2 linked regions of the Pelodiscus sinensis genome follow. The protein of the gene in region 1 interacts with the protein of each later gene in a biochemical or structural test. Links are inferred from orthologs where the notes say so. Each region holds a gene or a part of one and is shown in the gene's direction. Other genes may lie near its edges. The genes, in order: T-cell surface antigen CD2 and CD2 antigen cytoplasmic tail-binding protein 2.

Evidence for each region.
Region 2: the proteins of T-cell surface antigen CD2 (region 1) and CD2 antigen cytoplasmic tail-binding protein 2 interact in a biophysical measurement, tested with the Homo sapiens proteins (6 studies listed by BioGRID and IntAct, with this or other methods). The link is inferred for Pelodiscus sinensis from reciprocal best matches to the Homo sapiens genes CD2 and CD2BP2.

The regions. Positions count from the first base shown.
Region 1 is NC_134711.1:162,237,100-162,244,214, forward strand, and holds the start of T-cell surface antigen CD2, read left to right. Parts: upstream 1-3,916; 5' UTR 3,917-4,574; coding exon 4,575-4,635; intron 4,636-5,797; exon of another isoform or gene 5,798-5,919; intron 5,920-6,961; exon of another isoform or gene 6,962-7,074; intron 7,075-7,115. UniProt on the Homo sapiens protein: CD2 interacts with lymphocyte function-associated antigen CD58 (LFA-3) and CD48/BCM1 to mediate adhesion between T-cells and other cell types. CD2 is implicated in the triggering of T-cells, the cytoplasmic domain is implicated in the signaling function.
Region 2 is NC_134714.1:134,633,149-134,640,958, forward strand, and holds the start of CD2 antigen cytoplasmic tail-binding protein 2, read left to right. Parts: upstream 1-4,772; 5' UTR 4,773-4,948; intron 4,949-6,178; 5' UTR 6,179-6,192; coding exon 6,193-6,267; intron 6,268-6,569; coding exon 6,570-6,717; intron 6,718-7,810. Other genes in the region: sesquipedalian-1-like, read right to left, coding at 2,124-2,699. UniProt on the Homo sapiens protein: Involved in pre-mRNA splicing as component of the U5 snRNP complex that is involved in spliceosome assembly.

The DNA.
Region 1 (7,115 bases):
GGGTAGTGATCTGAGAGATGGCCTTCTTTGTTCTGGTGTTCTAACTCCTTTAAGTGTTTCTTTCAGTCTAGGTGTCTCACCAACTGCTTTAATACAAATATATTAACTCCTACATTTATTGGTTCTATATGTTGGTATAATACAAAATGTGCATGAATATTCTGCATGGTTGCATTATGTAACATGAAGTCAATATCACATCTTTGTATACTATATATATAGAACATAGGAATTATGATCTATTCTGTAGAAGAAATTTACCAAAAATTCAGTACACCAGTTATGGATACATTAATAATTAGCATTCATTAAAACTATTGCTGAGTGAGTGTTACCATTGGCCTGGAAGCAATAATGGCATTACCTTGGTGGAAGTCTAAACAAACATGGGCCCCTTCTGTGCTTCCAGATGTACAGGAGTAACCAATAGCTTTTTCTCATGCACACAAATGTAAGTTGACACTGCTATATCTTTTGTCACTTTTATAAACCCATTTTAGGGATGTCAATGGGAGTCATCATTGAACCATTGACGTTGAGGACCAAGGGAATTAGAGGGAATAGCCATTTATGATGGTAAGTATATAGGTGTTCTGGTACATCAGGGCCAGGGAGTAGTGAGAGAGTGCTAGAGGAGAGATATGTGAGCACTAGGCGAATTAAGGCATGGTTCACTATGGACTAGGGAAGGCTAATTGAAGCACCTGTAACCAGTTAAGGCCCTGTCAGGAACCTAATTAGAATGCTGTATCACATTAATGTGTGACTCCTTGTAGACTAGTGAAGGTTACTGCAGGCCAATTGAAGCACCTGTAACCAATTAAGCCCCTATCAGGAATCTAATAACCCCTGGCCCGTGATTCAAGGCAGACAGTGTGGAGTGAGGAAGAAGAGAGCACTGGAGTTTGGAGCTGTGTTGCTGAGACTTAAAAGGAAGGAAGACCCTGTCCCAACACATTGGGGGATTCCCTCCGCCAGCCTCAAGGACAGAGGGTAACCCTAATCAAGGGGGAAGAGAATAAGAAACTTGCAGGGATTGAGAGGGGCTGAGGCTCAGACCCAGACTTTTTCCTTGCTTCCCTTCTCTACCACCTTCCTGTGCCACTAGCTGGGACATTAGAGCAGGGACAATGGGTGATAACCTAGCCCCGCACCAAAAATAGCACAGGAGCCATCATACTATGATGTTGAGGGTGAGATTTTTGTGCTGAGAATATAACACAGGGTAGGTCATGACCAATCTATCCCCAAGCTGGAGGAATGGTCGAAGCACTGGTGCAAGCCACCACTACCCAGCAGGAGACTGTGCAGCACCAGCCAGGATCAGGCCATACTATAGGAACTAGTAAACCAGGTAAAGGATGTTAGAAAGATGAGCCGTGGCTATGAAGGGATTATACAGGCTAGCTACTGTCTACAGAAAACAACACAGGAGGAGGAGGTGATGGGGCACTTCCTGACCTCTGAGAGAACAGCCTTGTGGTTGGGCATCCTCACCCCCTACTTGTGCAGGGAGGCCCAGAAGGCGTACTATGATATGACCACAGAGGAGTTGGCAGACTACCCCCCCAGCTAAAGGCAGAGATTCTGGCCAGCTCCAAGGTAACGACAATTGCTCTGGTTGGTAGGCAGCACCGTCAGGGAAACTGCAAGGTAGCACAAACCGGTGGAAACCTAGAGACAGCTCCCAGCGCAAGCTGAAGTATTCCAAGGTCTGGAGGGGAGACCAATCCAATAGAATCAAGCCAGGTCAGTCCTGCACATGAGTGTTTGGGTGGGACTAAGCCTATGACCACCCACTGTATGCTAATGCCGTATCATAGTGATCTGTTTGGGAGACATTTAGGAGCAGCTAAGACTGGGTAGAGTCCTAAGGAGATTATACTGGCTGGGTGCATAAGCAAAAGTCCAGGCAGTGTTATTAGACTGAGGCAAAAGAAAGGAAAGACAAAGAGCATGGGGGGGAAAGTACACCTGTGGGAGACAATATGACAGCAGGAATCAACATCTCAGGTGCTGTTTGGGATATAGATAAAACCCTGGTGCAAGATCTGAGGGTTTTTTCTGCAGCCATCTTAGGAAAGCAGCAGCCATGAACAAAGAAACAGGAAGTGACGTCCTCACATTCCATCTGTCTTAGTCAAGGTAGCTCTGCCCTTTGCTACACGGCTGTGAATCTGTTGTTATAAAGGTAGCTAAAAGCAAATCTTTAAACTGCCTGGTCACCAGTCGCTGATAAGACTATGGGCTGTGTTCATTTTACTCCATGTTGTAAGGGAAAGTCAACACCTGAGACAGAAATCATATTTTCTATATTTTGTATTCTTTTCTCTCCCCTTTTGTGTATACATTAGTTCAGTTTTGGTTTGAAGGAAGCAGGATCAGATTCTAGCAACTTCAACTAACTTTTCCTCCTTTCCCCCAAAAGACATTGTTCCCATTGTTAATACCACCACTGTCAGATGAGGGAGAGGGAGAGGGAGAGCTTTCCTTATAAAAAGTAGCTACAATGAAAGGGAATAAGCAATATGGTTAAAAGAAAAGTCTCACCAAAGGCCAGGACTATGCTAATGGATTACTTTGCTGTAAATACATTGCTCAGGGATATGAGAAATCCCCACCCTGAGCAACAAAGTTACATTGACCTAAGCGCTGGGGTAGTGTAGCCAGATAGAACCCCCCCACCCCTCCCCTTCTCCCTCTGACATCCTTGGGAGAGAGAATCCTTGAGAGTGAAACTCTGTCTTCAAAGGCTCCAGGGCCTTCAGAGGTGACAATGGCTCTGGATGCTAGAAAGGAACCAGATAACAGGGCAATTGGTCCAGCAGGCGATCGGGGCCTCGAGCTGCCCTTGGCTAGTACCAGTATTGATACGCCTACACACACCGTCCTAGAAGAGGAATCTGCTGCCCCATCAGAAAGAATGTCCGGCCCTAATGATTTAGTTACCTCCACCTCACAGGTGCAAATTAAGCTTTGGACCCCCTGTGGGAATGGGCGTCACAAAGACGTTCCAACTTAATTGGCATTTTAATGACAAGAAAAGCGTCTACGTGACCACAGGGGTATAAAGTTGGGCCCTGTGCTCCACTCTAATTGGAGATCCACCCATATACCTGCTGGTCAGGCGGTCTTGGACCCCTGAGACTTTAGAGACGCCTTCATCTCGTATCGACTGCTTCCCATTGGGATTGAGAGAAGCGCTGGCTTCACCGGAGCAAGGATCGCAGGGGTGAGAATATACCTGCTAGGTGTTTATTTTTGCGTGCATTCAATAAGAGCTCAGAGAAGCAAAAGGATTCCATGGTACCTTTAAGTGACTGTTATTGTATTTTCTGTCTTGTCTTTGTAGTGGCTGCGTTATCTGCAATGCAGCAGTAACATTTAACAGCTAAGCTTGCCTTGTAACAATAAAATAGTAACTGTTTAAACTTTTAACCTGACTCCTCCTGTTGCTGTAACAGAACCAAACACAATAAAAAAGAACCATAGCCAGTCAGGGGTAAATGCAGTAAGAGCTGAGCGTTGAGTTGTGCCGCCTCCACAGGGCAGACTCTTGGGGCGCCCGTCAGCCTCCCTGGCTGCCCGCTGCAAAGTGACTCTGTCCTAGCAGTCAAAGACTCGGGTGTGATAGGACTCACAGACCACTCATTATCCCGGCCACCGGCTAACAGGTAGACAGCATTATGTCAGTAGGAGAGCTTCTCCCACCAACATGCCTGCTGCCTCTCGCAGGGGTGGATGAACTGTGCCGACAGGCGAGCTCTCTCCCATTGGCACCGAGCATCTTCACTAACATGCTGTGGAGATGCAGTTGCATCAGTGTAGCTTTGTGGATGCAGCGTTGCAAGTGTAGACCTGCCTTCCCGCTTTTAAATTTGAAAAATTGTAACCAATCTTTTCCTCCTTTTTCTGTGCTTTCAACAAAGCTTGCATAGAACTGCTAATTACAGGTGACCTGCATAAAGTCTGGAGTTCAGTCTCTGTTCAAAAGCCTCTCAAAGTTCAAATTCTTGTTTGAAGCTACTTTGAAGCTTCTGTTATCTACACAAAACACGTCCTCTAAACAGACTTCAGCAAATTCTTAAACTGCTGGCTAGTCCCTGAAGATCCTGGAGAGAGAAAGCTGGTTGCTGGGCCCTCTTTCATTCTCACCCAACAAGACCTCCCAAAGCAGGTCAAATGTGGCAGCAGAAGAATAGTAAGGCTTCCTCACATCTCTTCCTCTGGGATATGGATGAAGAAGCAATCAAGGTCCTTCTCTGAACATCGAAGGAAGATGTGGCTCAGGTTCTGTTCTCAAGTTGGACAAAATTGGGGGTTAATTCTGATGTTTGAGACATTTACTTTCCTAGTCCCTGCAAGTTGTCCCTCAATCTTGGACAGAGTACCAGATTCACTCCGTTCACGTGTGTGACAGAAATGAGACGTGTCACAGCGAGCAAGAGGAGGAGGGGACAAGAGGTGCAAGGGCTATGCTGACACACTGAAAGACTGCTGATCATAATAGAACTTCATCTGTCTGGCTAGGAGCTTTCTTCACGCAGGGATAGTTTGGAGCTAGGATTTTGAAAATGAGCATTAGGGGGATTTTATTAGCCAAGTGCCTGGTGGTGTTGTTCTTCTGTGTAACAGGTGAGTTTGCACCGGCTTTTTGCTCTTTCAGGCTGGCTTTGCTTAAACTTTGCACTTCAAAGCATTTTTAACTGCAGTAGATTAACACCCATTCCTTGTACCCAGAAAAGGATGCTGGACTTCTTAACAGGGTGATGAATTAGACCCATCTATGCCACAATTCTAATTGACTCTGGGATCCAGTTACAATATGACCACTTTTTTAAGTTGGATGGGACCTATAACTGGCTCCAGGGGTTTCACCCAGTTATGAGAATTTGGGGTCACGGCATATTTTAAGCCTTTTCCCCTGACTCAGTGATAGTTCATGAGCAAATTATTACCAATATGTTTTAGATTATTTCTTCAGTAGTGTTTTTAATATAGAAATGTGTTATCAAAACTAAACATGACCGATTCCTACCTCTGCCAAACACCCTCTATATAATGCTAAATAGGGAAGCTTGGGGCAGGACGGGTGATCCGATAAAAATGCTTCGCTCTAACTTACATATCATGGGCCACATTCTTCCCCTGGTATAACTCTGCCGAAAGCAGAAATGAATTTGTCCCCTGGTCTGTACGAGGGTATTGCTATTGTTACAGCAAGTGCAGGGCAAATAAATCATTTAAAGGGCCCCCCCAAACTGTACCTAGCCCTTGTGAAGATCAGATATTTGAGGACCTGGCAATGGGGACTTTTAGGGTAAAATTCTGGCCCTGATCCTTTGCCATTGACTTTAAGAGAGCCAAGATTTCATCCTCAAACCCTTAGGGCTCAATACAGCCAAGTTATCAGTACTCTGTCCCCAGTCCAGGCAAAGTGCTTAAGAACATGCTTCACTTTAGGCATGCGAGTTGTCCCTTTGACTTCAAAAGAACTATTCACGTGCTTAGATTGAAACATGTACTCAAATGCTTTGCTGTTGGGGACAGAATGCTCAGCTCCTGGTAGGATCAAGCACTGCCCTAACTTTTCCCATTGGTAAAATGGAGATAATGATATTAACTTACCTTAGAAAAGTGCTTTAAGATCTTGTGACTATTAGTATTTTATTTAGCCTTCAGTCCATGGGAACCCATAACCTATGGTTGCTATTATAATTTTTGTAATAATACACTGTAAATGATTTTATCTTCAAGTTAACAATTCTTTGTAAATGATTTTATCTTCAAGTTAACAATTCTTTATCTGATAGGTAGGTGTAAGCATGGAGTTTTATCTGATGTCCTCAGTGAAACACTTTTTTGCAATCCTCTTCAAGAGAGACTTCACTGTGCATCATGTAGATCTGTTGCTCTTTTCTAGAAAATAACATTTTATTAAAGAGAAACAAAATTGTAGACAGTGCAAGTATTTTTACACATGAATGTTGATAGAAAGGATGATATATACAAATAATTATATAGCTCAGTGGAGTTAATCTTATTTGTAAGTTACATTAGGGACATACTTATTGGTATTTAACCTTTTAAAAAGACTTGGATCTAAAAATGTAGTTGTAATTTGTAAACTAAAATCATAACAAGAAATAGTGGATCCAGTACACAAGAATCATTAATGAATGATGTGAATAAATCCAACAGTAGATTATTTATGATGGCTGTTTAATATTTTCTATATAGAATTACTAGATAAATAGGGAGTATGTTGTTGCTATGGACTTAAAACATATATTTCCTTGAATGGCTTTATTTGTTTCAAGTGCTTGACACTTGAAAAGTGAGTGCTTCTTTTCTCAGACGGGTAAAGTTACTGTAAGCACTGCTCCTTTTAGTTTAGTGCATATGCTACAAGACTACAAGAGAGCAGTTTGTAGCTAGATTCTCATCACTTGGTCCTTGGCAGAAGTATTTCAGTTGGCATGATCACAAATATTGTTTCATTGTCCAGACAGATGACTTACTGTTGTCTGGGATGTTCAGGCTTCTGTTCCAATGATATGGGAGACCAAGCAAACTTTAAAGCAAACTTTTAAAGACCTATCAGAATTGTCTGTCAATTAGAATACCATTTGAGCTTTCCTTCCTCAGGATTTTGATCAACCTTTTCCTCTTTGCCACATGCAAAATATAAATATATTATTATAGAATTTGCAATAGAAATAATGACTAATAATCACTCAAATCTCTGGGAGTAATTCTGAGGAATTGCAAGTATCTAAATTAAATGTATGTTTATTTGTTTAAAAAAAGTTTTACAAAGATTTTTGGTGCTCCTGTTAACACTTATTGGGGAATGAATAGTATTAAAATAGTTCCACTTCCAGGAGTGAGTGATTTCTGAATGTTCCATTAGGAATGCCAAATGCTTTTTAAGAAACTTGATAGCACAATAATAGCTTACCTTTGAGATGGTGCATGCATTACAGGAAACTCTTCAATGTCTCACAGGCTGTCCCTCTCATTATTTTTCTGCACAATCATGTATTCTAATTTTTTGATTTGACTCCAATATTACTATTGAACAAAGCAGTGATTATTTTTCAGTTTTCATCTCT
Region 2 (7,810 bases), on another chromosome or scaffold:
ACCCACTTCCTCAGATCAAATTGTGGAAGAAAATAAGCACGACCACATATCCCAAAGGGATACAACCAAAACAAAGTGAACACGCATAAAAAGGACAAATCGAATTTCAGAGGGGGGGGGAGAGGGGTAAATGTCTGTGAGCTAATGCTATTGGAGGTGATAATTGGGGAAGCTCTTTGGAATGGGTAAGATAATTAATGTCTTTGTTAAGACCCCAGCGTAAAGTGTCGAATTGAAGCATGAATGACAGTTCCGAGGTTTCTCTTTCAAGTCTGGTGTTAATGTCTTTGAAGCAGGATGCAGGCGTCACCTAATAAACCATCTTGTTAGTCTGTAAAGTGCCGCACAGCCCTGGCTGGTGTTTCAGACTCTCACGGCTGCATCTCTAGTACTATGGGGCTAGTCTGGCTCTTCCAGGGGCTCCGGGCTGCAGGTCTCTGAGAAGCATCAGTCGGGGGCTGTTCTTCCAAGGCCACTGGCCTTTAGATCTGAGAACCCTCGGGGAGGGGAGCGTGGCTCTTTGCTGCTCAGTGGCTGGGTGCGTGGGAGGCCACCCAGGAGGGTTTCAGATGCTGCCCAGCGGATTAGCAGAGCACCCATGGCCGGCAGCCTGCTTCTCCTGGTGGTGCACGTTTCACAGGTCTCAGTGCAGAGAACACCTATTCCGCCCGGGGGGATGAGAGGGAACATGGGTTGGGGTGCTGCGTCTCTGAAGATCGCTGGGTTGAGGGCCTTTGAGTCCTTGGTCTGGGGGGGGGGGGGTCTCTGCCCCTTGAAAGGGGTGAGGGTGTCCCAGATGAATAGGCTTTGTGCTCTGGAGCAGCCCGGAGTGGATCGTGGCTAGGCTGCCTCGTGTGGCACTCTCCTAGGGTACACCCTGCGGGCCCTGCCTCAGAGCTGTCAGCACCCGTTCCACACTGCGAGCTCCCTTCAGGGACGTCTGCCAGTCTGGATCAGCGTAGAAAGCAGGATGTTCCAGCCAGCCCCAGCCCCTAGGTCTCTGCCCCAGGGGTAGGGGCCCCAGCCCCAGGGGTAGGGGCCCCAGCCCCAAGCTTTGCTTTCCAGCGGGTCAGAATGGGCCAGCTTCCTGCCAGTGCAGGCTCAGCGGTTGCCAGGTACCACTGGCTGCCTGTTGGTTGGGCCCAAGACGCTAGTAGAGGCGGGCTGGGCTAGGGGGTCTCTGCAGACTCACCCCCTTGTCCCGCCACAGGGTGAATCACGCAGCCTGCCTGGAAATGGAGACCCCCAGTATCCACACCACTGGGTTCTGGTCTTGGGGGTATGGGGCACTGGCCTGAGATGAGCCTCAGTTCCCTGAGGGCCACTCTGAGGCTAGTGAGAGCCAGGACTCCTGGGCTCTATTCCCGGCTCACTGGGGTTAGTGGCGGAGCAGTGGCCACGGGGGACCAGGCTCTGCATGCTGGAGGGGCGAAGCCTGGACGGTGTGTGCTGCGCCAGTGGAGGTTGGGTGAGGGCAGCAGGAGCCTGGCTGATCTCCTAGGGCAGGAAACGGTTGTTGAAGGCGGTCAGAGCCGCAGGCAGGGCCCTGATGGAGCGTTTCCTGCTTTGCCTGTCCCTGTGGCCCGAGAGCCTCCTTTGGCTGAATGAATGGGGATTTCTCAGACCCACAAGTTGAGCCCAGTGCAGCAGTGGGGGGAGCTCTCACCGGGCAGGCAGGACGTTTGTTCCGCACAGCACCCGCTGGAGTAGCCAGGAGCTCCCCTGCCCCAGCCGTTGCCCTGCCCCCTGCACTCAGCGCCCCCCACTGCTGGCCAGAGGTGACCAAACAGTGAATTCACGTGGCTGAGCCCAGGCCCCGACAGAACACGTTTATTATTGGAAAAGCATCGCCTCAGTGCAAAGGTTTGGCCTTGAAAGGTCCCCACTTCCCGAAGAACCGCAAGGCAGAGGGAGCATCTCTGCCTCCTTAACCCGGGGGGGAGGGTTTCTAGTCCATCCAAGCCAGACACGGCCCCTTCCCATTCTGTCTGTCCCTTGAGCTGAGCTTGCAGCCCCTGCTAGCCCACCCTGGGTCCCCCACACTGCATGTTTCTCCTGCATTGGATGGCATGGAATAGGACTCCCCTACCCCCTCTGGCTCTTCTCCTTTCCCTGCTCCCGTCCTACCCCAAATCAATCAGGTCTCCCTGTGTTGGCTGGGTCCCTTCTGCCCTGGCCTCCTTCCACTTCGCCCGCAGCTTCACAATCTCCTTCCCAAACTGCTGGTGCAGCCCCTCAAAGTCTGGCAATCCCACCGCTGACACCACTGGGCGGTGCTGAACAGCCCATTCCTTTGGCGGGGCAACCCCATTGGCCCGGTACTGTCCCTCTAGCTCAGTCACCAGAGCCCGCAGGTAGTCAAAGCTGGCCGTGCTCAGAGCCCGTACCCAGCCCTCCATGGAGGCCTGGTCTTCGGCAGCCATCTTGTAAGCTCGGTGGCCCGACCGGTAGGAGATTTCAAAGGTGAAAGGCTCTGTGGCGGATTCCTGTAGCTCCACCGTGCAGCCCTCCAGCAGGATCAGCCCCAGCGGCTCCCGGTCCCCCTGCCGCTCCCAGTAGAAGAGCAAGTTCCCTCGCAGTTCGCACCAGCGGCGCTGGTAGGTGCTGCTGCGTTCGCTCTTCTTGTACAGCCGGCCCTGGCGGTCGGGGGGCACTGCCACGCGGGAGTAGCCCAGGACGCCGGTTTCATGCAACTTCATGTGGGCAGGGACCTGAGAGAGGGGAGACAGGGAACAGGACGTGGGGCCTTTCCCGGGCAGGGCCCCAGCCCCAGGGCAGGGAACGGGACGTGGGGCCTTTCCCGGGCAGGGGCCCAGCCCCAGGGCAGGGAACGGGACGTGGGGCCTTTCCCGGGCAGGGCCCCAGCCCCAGGGCAGGGAACGGGATATGGGGCCTTTCCCGGGCAGGGGCCCATCCCCAGGGCAGGGAACGGGACGTGGGGCCTTTCCCGGGCAGGGCCCCAGGGCAGGGAACGGGACGTGGGGCCTTTCCCGGGCAGGGGCCCAGCCCCAGGGCAGGGAACGGGACGTGGGGCCTTTCCCGGGCAGGGCCCCAGGGCAGGGAACGGGACGTGGGGCCTTTCCCGGGCAGGGGCCCAGCCCCAGGGCAGGGAACGGGACGTGGGGCCTTTCCCGGGCAGGGCCCCAGGGCAGGGAACGGGACGTGGGGCCTTTCCCGGGCAGGGGCCCAGCCCCAGGGCAGGGAACGGGACGTGGGGCCTTTCCCGGGCAGGGCCCCAGGGCAGGGAACGGGACGTGGGGCCTTTCCCGGGCAGGGGCCCAGCCCCAGGGCAGGGAACGGGACGTGGGGCCTTTCCCGGGCAGGGGGCCCAGCCCCAGCCCCAGCCCCAGGGCAGGGAACGGGACGTGGGGCCTTTCCCGGGCAGGGGCCCAGCCCCAGGGCAGGGAACGGGATGTGGGGCCTTTCCCGGGCAGGGGGCCCAGCCCCAGGGCAGGGAACGGGATGTGGGGCCTTTCCCGGGCAGGGGCCCAGCCCCAGGGCAGGGAACGGGATGTGGGGCCTTTCCCGGGCAGGGGGCCCAGCCCCAGCCCCAGCCCCAGGGCAGGGAACGGGATATGGGGCCTTTCCCGGGCAGGGGCCCAGCCCCAGGGCAGGGAACGGGATGTGGGGCCTTTCCCGGGCAGGGGGCCCCAGGGCAGGGAACGGGACGTGGGGCCTTTCCCGGGCAGGGCCCCAGCCCCAGGGCAGGGAACGGGACATGGGGCCCAGGGCTGGGGGCCCGGAGTTCAGGGCAAGGCTGGCTCAGGGGGCCCAGCGCAGAGGGCCCAGGGCAGGGCAAGGGGAGCGGGGCGCAGGGCGGGGCCCGGGCCTAGGGGGCCAGGGCGGGAGGCTCAGCAAGGGGGGCTCGGGGCGGGGCAAGTCGGGGGGGGCGGGGCGCAGGGCGGGGGGTTCGGGGCGGGGGACTCAGCACGGGAGCCCAGGGCGGGGCTCAGCTCGGGGGGGCGGGGCTCGGGGCGGGGGGGGCGGGGCCCGGGCCTGGGGGGCTCGGGGCTCGGCGCGGGGGGGGCTCGGGGCGGGGGGGGGCGGGGCTCGGGGCGGGGGGCTCAGCTCAGGGGGGGCGGGGCTCGGGGCGGGGCCTGAGACGGGGGGTTCGGGGCGGGGGACTCAGCACGGGAGCCCAGGGCAGGGCACAGGGCTCAGCGCGGGGGGGCGGGGCTCGGGGGGCTCAGCGCGGGGGGGCGGGGCTCGGGGCGGGGGGGCTTAGCTCGGGGGGGGGGCGGGGCCCGGGCCTGGGGGCGGGGGGGCTCAGCTCGGGGGGGGGGGGGGCTCGGGGAGGGGGGGGGCCGCTCCCCGCCCGGGCTCGTTACCTGGCTCCTGCCCGGCTCTGCCCGCGCGGCTGCTCCCTCCCGGCCCCGCCCCCCGGAAGTGTCTCGCGGCAGCCAGGGCGCGGCCGGCTCCGCTCGGTCCTAAGGCGACCCGGGTTCGCGGGGGGGGGCAGGGCCCCACTCGCCCCCCCCCCCCGGTGAAACACGAGGGGCCGGGCCCCTTGCCCCCCCCCCGGAAAACAGGGGGGGCCGGTGCGCCTGCCGGGGGGGGCGCAGGGGGCGTGGCCCCGTGGAGGGGGAGGGGCCTATGCCCTGGGCCTGTCCCGTCAGACCCGAGGTGCTGGGGGGGGGGGGGGCGGGGCGCTTGCTGCCCCTTTAAGCGTTGCCATGACTCCCGCTCCGCACGGCAGCCAATGAAGCCGCAGCTAGCGGTGGCTGCCCGGAGAAAACGTCACTTCCGGCCCCTCCGCCAACCCGCCGTTGGGCTCCTGCGCGATGGGGGGCCCTCGCTCAGGTGCCATTGTGACGTCACCTATCGCGCTATTCGCCCGAACGAGATCAACCCGGCGCGAGAGGCGGGGCGAGGGCCTGCGGCGACGTCACATCCGGGCAGAGTGACCCGGAAGTGGCTGCCGCGCGAGGGCGCTCTGCGAGCCCCGGAGGTGAGTGAGTGGCGCAGCCGATGGGGGCGCTGATCTGCATATGCAAATGAGGGGCTGTGAGGGTCTTGGGGTCCCGCTGGTACCGGGGCGCCCGGCCCGAGCCGAACGGGCTGATTTGCATATGCAAATGAGGCGGCAGGACCCGTACTGCGCATTTCCCCCGGGCCGGACTATTGCATCTTATTTGCATATGCAAATTAGGCATCACAGGGGGGCCCTTGGCTGGGCTGAACCGAGCGCTTGGGCCCGCCCAGCACGGTGGAAGCGAGTCATTTGCATATGCAAATTGGGAAGCTGCGAGGCTGGAGTTTGGGCCCGTGTCCCTGCGGGGCGGGGCCTGGGGGGCTCATTTGCATATGCAAATGCACGTTGTGCCCGGGGCGGGTTTGCAGCCTGGCGCAGAGAGGATGCTCCGGTGGCGCCTCGCCTGAGGCCGGGTCTCTGGCGTGTCATTGGCCTGTGGGGCTGCAGGTGCCTGGGGCCGCGGGGCCCGTCGTGTGGGGCTGCAGGTGCCTGGGGCCGCGGGGCCCGTCGTGTGGGGCTGCAGGTGCCTGGGGCCGCGGGGCCCGTCGTGTGGGGCTGCAGGTGCCTGGGGCCGCGGGGCCCGTCGTGTGGGGCTGCGGGTGCCTGGGGCCGCGGGGCCCGTCGTGTGGGGCTGCGGGTGCTAGGGGCAGCGGGGCCCGTCGTGTGGGGCTGCGGGTGCTAGGGGCCGCGGGGCCCGTCGTGTGGGGCTGCGGGTGCTAGGGGCAGCGGGGCCCGTCGTGTGGGGCTGCGGGTGCTAGGGGCCGCGGGGCCCGTCGTGTGGGGCTGCGGGTGCTAGGGGCCGCGGGGCCCGTCGTGTGGGGCTGCGGGTGCCTGGGGCCGCGGGGCCCGTCGTGTGGGGCTGCGGGTGCTAGGGGCAGCGGGGCCCGTCGTGTGGGGCTGCAGGTGCCTGGGGCCGCGGGGCCCGTCGTGTGGGGCTGCAGGTGCTAGGGGCCGCGGGGCCCGTCGTGTGGGGCTGCAGGTGCTAGGGGCCGCGGGCCCGTCGTGTGGGGCTGCAGGTGCTAGGGGCCGCGGGGCCCGTCGTGTGGGGCTGCAGGTGCTAGGGGCCGCGGGGCCCGTCGTGTGGGGCTGCGGGTGCTAGGGGCCGCGGGGCCCGTCGTGTGGGGCTGCAGGTGCTAGGGGCAGCGGGGCCCGTCGTGTGGGGCTGCAGCGGCGGACGCCCCCTTCCTTACTCACCTCCCTCCCCAGAGCATCGGGCCACCATGCCCAAGCGCAAGGTGACATTTGAGGACCAGGTGGAGGGGGACGAGGAGGAGCTGGCCATGCCCAAGAAGAAGGTGAGTTATGAGGGCAGGGATGTGGGGAGGGATCTCTGTGGGGCAGTGAGGCATGGGGGAGGGATACAAAGGGGAGGCCTGTTGTGCGGGTGGGGACGTGAGAGAGGTCTCTGGAGGTACCCTGGTGAAGGGTACAGGTCTCTGTTGGGAGTTGGAGGGGGTCGCTGGAGAGGGTGTGACCATGGGGTATTTGAGGGTTCTCCTGGGTGTCTCAGGATGATGCTGGTGAGTGGGGGGCCTGTTGCATCAAGGTGCTGTGTTTTGGGATGACCAAGGGAATCTAAGTCTCCCTCTCTCCCCAGCTGGCAGAGCCTGGCCTGGGGGCCAGCGGCCCCGGGAGCCGCTTCAAGGGCAAACACTCCTTGGACAGCGACGAGGAAGACGAGGATGAGGAGGGCGATGACGGCCGGGCCAGTAAATACGACATCCTGGCATCGGAGGACGTGGAGGGTGAGACCCTCGGCAGGGGAGACCAAGCTGAGTGGGCAAAGATCTGGGGAGGGGGACCCTGGGGAGTGGGTGGGAAGAAGGGAAGGATGGGAGGCAGGTGAGGGGTGAGTGTATGATCCGGGGGGAAGGAGGGGAGAATGGGGGCTGGAGAGTGCTCCTGTGGGGAGAAGTGGGGGGTCCTGCCTCGGTAGACCAATCTGGGGCTGTGCAGAGCAGGGGAGACAGGGTAGTAATGAAGTTGGGGAAATGGCAGCAGGTCTGATGGGCAGGGGGGTCTCCCAGGGGTAGGAAGTGGGGAAGACAGTGGTGGGACTGACAGGTCACAGGGTCTCCAGAGGCAGGGGCAGGAGGCAGGGAAACTGGTGGGGTAGTGTTGAGGGAGCAAACTGTGGCGGGGCTGGTGGGCAGCAGGTGACTGTGGCGGGGCTGATGACTGGGCAGGTGATAACCGTGGATGGAGGAGCTGAGGAGTAGGGGGATGACCATGGCGGGGATGACAGGTGGCCAGGGGGTGAGCGTGGCGGGGCTGGTGGGCAGGGGGTGAGCGTGGCGGGGCTGGTGGGCAGAGGGTGAATGTGGCGGGGCTGGTGGGCAGAGGGTGAGCGTGGTGGGGCTGACGGGCGGGGGGTGAGCGTGGCGGGGCTGACGGGCGGGGAGTGAGCGTGGCGGGGCTGGGGGTAGGGGGTGAGCATGGCGGGGCTGACGGGCAGGGGGTGAGCGTGGCGGGGCTGACGGGCAGGGGGTGAGCGTGGCGGGGCTGACAGGCGGGGGGTGAGCGTGGCGGGGCTGGGGGTAGGGGGTGAGCGTGGCGGGGCTGACGGGTAGGGGGTGAGCGTGGTGGGGCTGACGGGCGGGGGGTGAGCGTGGCGGGGCTGACGGGCGGGGGGTTAGCGTGGCATGCTGGGGGTAGGGGGTGAGCGTGGCGGGGCTGACGGGCGGGGGGTGAGCGTGGCGGGGCTGGGGGTAGGGGGTGAGCGTGGCGGGGCTGACGGGTAGGGGGTGAGCGTGGCGGGGCTGACGGGCGGGGGGTTAGCGTGGCGGGGCTGACGGGTAGGGGGCGAGCGTGGCGGGGCTGGGGGCAGGGGGTGAGCGT